2 linked regions of the Stegostoma tigrinum genome follow. The protein of the gene in region 1 interacts with the protein of each later gene in a biochemical or structural test. Links are inferred from orthologs where the notes say so. Each region holds a gene or a part of one and is shown on either strand. Other genes may lie near its edges.

Region 1 (3,926 bases):
TTACATTTTGAGCTGCTGCGTTGGATCAAATCCATATTATTAAAGAGGCGAATGAAAACTGGCCCTAGAAATCAACAGAGGCACAATATTTCCAACCACAAGATGTATGAACCCATTCCTACCGTCAGTTTGTAATTTTAGAAACTTTCAAATTACGGTTAAAATTTGCCATCTTTCCTTGTTTCGATCCTGTCCTGAAATACAATCAGGTAATGAGACGACAGCAATGGGCATTTGAGGAAAAAAGTTATCAAAAATAGTATTTTTTTATTTCCAATGAAAGACACCTATGCCGATTTAAGATGTTTGGTTAGCTCTTCAAGACTGACTTCTGTATTTAAGTTGAGGTATTTCTCTTCGCAACTGAAAAATCTAGAGGGGATATTTCCACTTCAGGATAAAAGTCAGGGTTTTGATAATGGAGGAGGGGATACCAGTTTACTGTAATTAAACAATTCGCTCTAAAATAAACTACAAATCGCCAAAGCTGGAAATCTGAAATGAAAGTTTTTCAAATCACCTGCAGGCTATTGCAGAAAGGAAATAGAAAATAAAAGTTTTTCCACACCACACAGTAAACGTTTCCGAGGAAGTCGAATTTCGGTTTGAGTATAATCGGAGTATTTTAAAACAATGTTATTTCATGCTTAACAAAACCTGCGGTTTACTGCTACTGACATTAACAATATAAAGTGTCTCCAGCATTTACCTTAATTAGATTAGAGTCAATTTCTTTACAAAGAAAAAGGAACATAGCAACAGCTTGGACCGTCAGATATTTCTGGGCTGCATTTCCTTATTCGTCTGTTTACTTTGAAGACAAATTATGTTTTTCCCGATTGCACACAGGTTACAAAGTTCACACAATAAGCTTCATTGGTGCATAATTTGTGATTTATCGCACGCTTCATCAATTCTTCCAACAGTTTGGGAAAATTGCAGCGGATGGGTCATTGCTTGACGAATGCTTGGTGAATGTTTAGGATTCTCAGTCAGGTGCCAATTCCAGCTCCTATGCAGCAGCGAATTAAATGGAAAGCTCTAATTGGCAGAAGCCCACATTAGAGACCTCAAAGACTCGGAATGCCAAAAAGCGCAGTATTGTGCACCGCACAGTTAAAGTTGGGTCGAGGGCTAATCTGGTTCATGGTTGGACTTGCATTTCGCAGGTCGGAGATTGAGAGGTTTCCTTGTTCTGACACAAAATTGACAGCCTATCTGGCCACAGACTGTACACTGATTGAATTAAAAACTGCTAGAACTGTGAAGTCAGTGCGACGCCACTACTCTGTTATTGTTCACTAGTATGATAAGAAATGTAGTGAACCAAAGTGTGAAAACTTGTTCGTTTCAGGCAAAATTTATTTTTAAATTATCTGTTTGCTGCAGTTACTGCAACGTCAGTCTCAATATTTAAAGAGATTTTCAGTCCGACTCCAATCCCTGGTCATAAATCTCATTCCCAACAGTCCTGGAATACCGAACAGCTCCCGGCAAGAAGGCGCGCGCACCCACCTATGGATCGGGGTGGGGGGTGGGATGGTGGAAGGCAGGCATGCCCAACCAAACCGCAGACCAGGAATATGAAGTAAAGAAGTTATAGTAATAAAAAGGGGAGGGAAGGAAAGGCACAAAAATTTACACGAAGAAACGGTAACGGGCAAAGATGTACAAGGAATAAGCAGGTCACATACATTTGCGACTGTAACTCTTAAGTTGCAGTCACGTAGTTTGCAATTCCCATCGGAATTCTAGCGCAAATCTTTTCTAAACGAAAGCGATTGAACTGTAGTGAAAATACGTGTTTGGTCAGTGTTGGAGACTTCTCAGCAGAAAACACAGATAGAAGTCTTCAAAACTCATCCAATTTCCCCTGAAGCGTAAGGATCGCCCGCATAACTTTCAAAGTAAAGAACATTCTTCCTTAATATTTCAGAGCAAATGTAGGGCACATCGCCACTGCTAGCGGCGATGTATTATTTAATCAGAATCACGAAGAGACAGTGCAATCGCTATGCGTGCTCACCTCCTTGCAGAGTCGTTTTGATGAGGATCATGAGCAGGTATCCCTGTAAGAGCGTCGTAGCCATCTTGTCAGCCACTCCACAAAATACTAACTCACTCTAAGTCCAGGCGCTTTTATTCACTCGACCCTAATTGCCACTTGTAAGAGACGGATATGGACAATACGTAATTAGTCAGGGACCCAACTCGGTCCTTGTAGCCAGTTGACTTTTCTCCGCTGCGGCTTTTTTTTCCTGGTCAGTCCTGCCAACATTGCAGAACTCCTGCCAGAATCTCGGCAATTGCGTCTATTTTCTCTGCCAGGTCGTTTGCATGAGCTCTGAGAATTTATTAGAAAAAAAGGACAGCGAGTCAGCCAGATAAGGCAGTTCGAATTTTGCAGACAGTAAGGATCCCAGTATGTGAAGAGAGATGTTAATTTGCAGCTTGAGTATCAATCTAATTTTTACACGTTGTATCTACTAAACAGGCGACCAACATGCCCAGAGTCAGGTGCATTTTTAAAGAGATCTGATACTAAACTGAGCTATACCTGTACTTGGTAAGAAACTCCAATACCAATTTATTTAGACGGCTAGTTATATAGGGGCTACTTGCACTGCTAACTACTTATAATGCAAAAATATGTATTCAGTTCAAATGAACTTTGTATATAGACCTCTTGCATAAACAGGTATTAGAGACATGGACTATAAATTCTGGAAATCTGCAAAATCCGCAAAAATGTTAGATATATACAAAGGTTACAATTGCCTCAGCAACAGAAAACATTTTTAAGTTTCAGTCAGTGGATTGCAATCATTGGACTCTTGCATACACAGATATATCTCACATACATGGCAGATATCTTAATCCAAACAGATTTGAATAGATAACTGAGTAAAGTGGGAGATACGCATCAATTTGCTATCTTATTATAATTTAAACTGGCCTGCAGACATTGATGTGTAAATATGTACACACAGTTAATTGACAGATACAACACTAAATCAAGAATAAAGTTAATGTAAAAACGTAGAAAAAAGCGAATATTTTTCAAGTGAAGTATGCATAGCAGCAGGGCAAGCCAACAGTTCTCGCATGATGTCAGTCAAACAGCTTGAGAACCATTTACAGACTTTTGATTAGTTCTGTTACTAATGTCAAAACTGTCCTTTTCAATTTTACAGGGTTTTACTTACTTTGTTGGCTGATTCTGTGCCGTCCACCCAGCTCACTGCCAAGTGAGACATTTCATTATTTATTTTAAATGCCAGTAATATGTTTTCTTTTGTTAATCAGTCAGGGATATAGGTTCAGACTGTGCATAGCTTGTTTTGTATGTTACCAATATTACAGAACTTTTGGTACATGATTTTTCAATTTATATGTATGAGATTGGAAGGTTCCTTGTTAAGTACCCTGTGAGAGAAATGTCTGTATGCACATATTAAATTTTCCAATTCAAGTTTAATGGAGGGCATCTTGTAGTTTATGTTGTTTTAAATATTTTTATCTTCATCTGTTAGTTCAAAATATTTTGTACCACAAATTGCTGGAAGTGTATGTTGATACAAATTCATAACTCTCATCCAAAGGAGCATTCTTGGGGTTACCATTGATCAGAAACTGAAGTTGACCAGTTATATGCACAGTGTGATTACAACAGCAGATCAGGGACTAGGGATTTGGCGCCAAGTAACTCACCCCTGACTCTTCAAAGTTTGACCATCATCTACAAAGCTCAAGTCAGGAATGTGATCTAATATTCCCCATTTACCTGCACGCTGCAACAAGACTCAATTGGTTTGACAACATCCATCAAAGCAGTGCACTTATTGACACCTGTCCTCCACTTTTGAAAGCCGCTGTCTCTACCACTGACTTACTGTAGCAATGGTATGTGCAGGTACACTGCAGTA
Region 2 (3,926 bases), on another chromosome or scaffold:
GGATTATATTTGATAACATTTTCCTGCCAGCATGGAGCCAGTGGGTTGAATCACATATTTTGTCATTTTACTTGCAAATTCTTTGTTTTGAATTCCCTCCATCTAGAAAATAAGCTAGAGCATTGTTAGTTTTTTATGGTCTTGTTAACTGGTGTAGCTACTTTCTACATCTGTAAACCTTAGATCTCTTTGGTCTTCTACTCGAGTTGGATACTTATTTTCGAAAATGTATGTGCTCTTATTCCAATTATCAAAGTATACATCTCATAATCATCTATATTGAAGTTGATGTACCAACATTTTTCTTCAAATACACATTAAGTTGACTAAGCTCTTCAAACTGGTGTTGCATTCTTTAGGTTTGCATGCATGTTCTAGTTCTGTCAAGCGTTTTGAGAAATGTTCAGTATTAAAGGTAATATAAATGGATATTGTTATCACATTTATTATTAGATTTTAAGCCATACACTTTTGATTTTATTAATATTAAGTAAATAAACTCCATCCAGTTCAATAGCATGACCAAGATCACTGATGTTTTAAAATAGAAAAACTGATGGAAATTTTTAACTTTAATGAGAAAACATTAAAGAAAGCTTCCAAAACCCTTAAATATAAACAAAATTTGACTTATTTAGTCAACATAAACCAATGTCTCTAATTGCAAACAGAATGCAGTCTCCCTAGCTTAACTAAAAATCCTAGAAGTACGTGCAATAAAAATAAAATTTGAACTATTCAGTTAATCATAAATCAGCACTCCTGGTCAGGATTTACAGTTCCAGAGAGAAAACACAGACATGCAAACACAGCTGAATAGAAGAAAATGAATTTTTTTTTATTATTAGTCTAGTATTCATAACCTAACCATAATTCCAGCATTCATCATATTAACATCATTTAGGCGCTCATTTTAATATACACCTGAAAGCAAATATTTTTATTAAACCAAATAAAACTTTAAAATCAAATTCCCAAAAGTAATTGTGTTGCACTTGATTATTCTTTATTGTGATAAACAAATTTCAAAACATTGTACAAAGTTGTTTCTGAAAAATACACTCCATCAAACAATACATACACAGATTTGATAAAGGTGAGCAAACTCATTAAAGGTTATAATTGAATGAAAAGAAGCTGGTTCCAGCGCCAAAACAATCAGTTGCTGGAGGGAACAGATTTAAACGTGACTGACACAAGAACACAAAGTAAGGCGATACAACATTGTTTTTACGCAGCAAGTTTCTATCTAGTATGAACTACCTGAAAAGGTGTTGCAAATTGTTTCAATAAGGACATTCATAAATAATTGACAAAAAATGGAAAGAAAACATGTTCATAAGATAGAGCGAGGGGGGATGTTGTGGGAGATTAACGTAGTTGATGAATTTCTCAATTAAAGAGCTGCAACTGGCATTATGGGCCGAATGGCTACGCACAACGAAACTACAAATCTCAATGATCAGCTTCCTGGAGCACTGGTTCTCCAGATTAGTCAGTTAATGCCATTTTCAGTGATACACCCTAAACGAAGCACACGGGACTTCAGAGATAACGGGAACTGCAGATGCTGGAGAATTCCAAGACAATAAAATGTGAGGCTGGATGAACACAGCAGGCCAAGCAGCATCTCAGGAGCATTCCTGAGATGCTGCTTGGCCTGCTGTGTTCACACGGTTTTTTGGATGTTGATCCTCATTAGAAGGGGAGTACAGGGTGAAAATAATCATCCATTTACCGGGTCCTTGACTACTGTGGGTTCAGCTGCCCTTAGAACAAAAATCTAGAAGTCTTAACACCGTCTCCTCTTGTGCCCCATGCGCTGCCCAAGAGAGTGAAGAGCCAGTATTGCTCCCTGTCATGGCCGTGGCCAGCTCCCCCCACCCTGCTGTGTTACTGCCTCCAATGCAGCCAGCCCAGCGGTCTTCCCAAATCAAAATTCCGAGCTCAACGAGGCCGCCAGTAGGGCCCCATGTACAAAATCGGGCAAGTTTCCAGAGGTGGGAGGGGAGGGAGGGAATGGCTTACCCACATCTCCAGGAACAGTCACGAACGATCCGCTACACCGCTCCTGCCTCTATCCGGGCCTGTGCATCCTGCTCATGTGTATCGGAGCTCTTTGGAAAAAAAACACAACCGAAAAGACAGGCAAGAAACAATGATTTCTCAGAACCTGCCTGCTGCTGGGCATGAAATCACCCGCCTCTGCAAAGAAGTTTTGCCGATCGAGAAGCGGCATAGCTGCAAACTCTCCGCTTGACTGGAGGAAATCTTGGTTGGGCTGGCACGAGAGGTTGGGGCGGGGCTCGACTCTGGGAGGGGGCCGGTGGAATCGCGAGCGCAGCGCGCGGTGGGAAACAGAAATCTCCAGGACGAACGATAACGGCTAACAGCTCACCTGCGGTGGCGGTAAGGATTCAACCTCATTCCGTTGGCGAGATGACAGAAAGAACCCGTTTGAAGTTCGAACACGGGTTCGGATTCTCTCCTTTCCATGATTGGAACTGTTTACCGTTAGGAACGACGGAGATAATCGATTCCGAACTTCAAACAAAGGAGCGGGGGCGGGATCTGTCACGCTGCCCTGGTCGCTTTTTGTGTGGCCATTGGCTAGCAGCCGGCGGTCTCGGTCACTGATTGGCTGATTGGCCTGTCAATCGACCGGAGGTCGGTGTTGAGGTGGTTGAGCGTGAAGAGTACGCGGCTGTACATGGACTGGTCAATACTTATGAATAAGCTCCATGATAGAAGCAGTGGGCGAATGCGGAACGGGAGGCTCTAGTTGGCGGCAGGTTTGGGTGTACGCTCGGGGTTGGGGAACAGGGCCGGTTTGCTCAATAACCTGTCACCACCTCGCTCCCGGGGCGCTGGCACTGTGCTGGGAGGGCAACACTCGATCCTGGGGGTCCGTGGAGGTGAGTGGCTGCTGTTCTTTCATAATGTAGCCAGGTCCTGCCCAGATGGGAAACAGGCGCGGGTGGGCGAAGCAGGATTGATCGGAATTCGTGAACTGCAGGCTGGATCGACTGTGAAGAGGATTGGAAAAGACCCTTCGCAGTTCTGTTTCACCTGGTGTCTGAGATTCTCTCTCTGCGGAAAGCAAATGTACATTGAGACACTGGTCACTTATGTTGATTGCCCTGTGCAAAATCTGCTGGACTCAAGTGAGGAAGAGTGCACGAAACATATGCACTTCTATATTTACATACTGTGTGTTAGTATCCTCAGTATACAACCAACTGTTTAGATAAGGGGACCAGATAATACAAGTAGGATTTGTAATCCTGTGATTGAGAGTATCAGAGGCTATTATTGCAGCGTTAACATTGGGCGAAAGAAGTGAAGCAATATCAGTAAACTTGGGTAGGCAGGACAATTATAGTTTGAGTAAATCTAAGAGATACAGAAAAGAAAATGGTTTTCATTTGCACGCGAGTAAGGCCGTAAACATGCGATTATACTGGGTTCCCAGGCAAGATGTGCTAAATATAAAAATCAAAATGTAGTTTGAACGTATATAAAACTTCAGCAAGATTACATTTGGACTATGTGTACTATTTCGAGTTCTATAGATAGTAAAATGATATGGTGATAATGATTGTGTGGCACAGATTCACTAAGATTCTGCCTGGTATCAGCATGTACAAATTCAAAAGAAAAGTAAAGCAAAATACTGTGCAGGCTAGAGAAAGGGGAGCTGTATTAACATTTGGATTGATGGCTGTTCTGAAAGGTCACTGGCCTGAAATATTAGCTCTTTCTTCCTTACACATCTATTATTTGACCCTATGTTTGTGTTCTGTTTAAGAGTTGGAACCGTTTTCATTAGAAAGGAACATTAAAGGGTATTTAGAGCAGTGTTTAAAATTATGAATGAATCTGACAGGGTAGATTTGTTTTTATGTTTTGACAGGTGTAGAGTTACA

The links.
Region 2: the proteins of elna (region 1) and protein-lysine 6-oxidase form a complex in vitro, tested with the Homo sapiens proteins (2 studies listed by BioGRID and IntAct). The link is inferred for Stegostoma tigrinum from reciprocal best matches to the Homo sapiens genes ELN and LOX.

What each region holds. Positions count from the first base shown.
Region 1 is NC_081380.1:14,392,010-14,395,935, forward strand, and holds the start of elna (elastin a), read right to left. Parts: upstream 2,339-3,926; 5' UTR 2,091-2,338; coding exon 2,027-2,090; intron 1-2,026. UniProt on the Homo sapiens protein: Major structural protein of tissues such as aorta and nuchal ligament, which must expand rapidly and recover completely.
Region 2 is NC_081356.1:72,578,482-72,582,407, reverse strand, and holds the start of protein-lysine 6-oxidase, read right to left. Parts: upstream 2,556-3,926; 5' UTR 2,399-2,555; exon of another isoform or gene 2,118-2,398; 5' UTR 2,029-2,117; intron 1-2,028. UniProt on the Homo sapiens protein: Responsible for the post-translational oxidative deamination of peptidyl lysine residues in precursors to fibrous collagen and elastin. Regulator of Ras expression. May play a role in tumor suppression. Plays a role in the aortic wall architecture.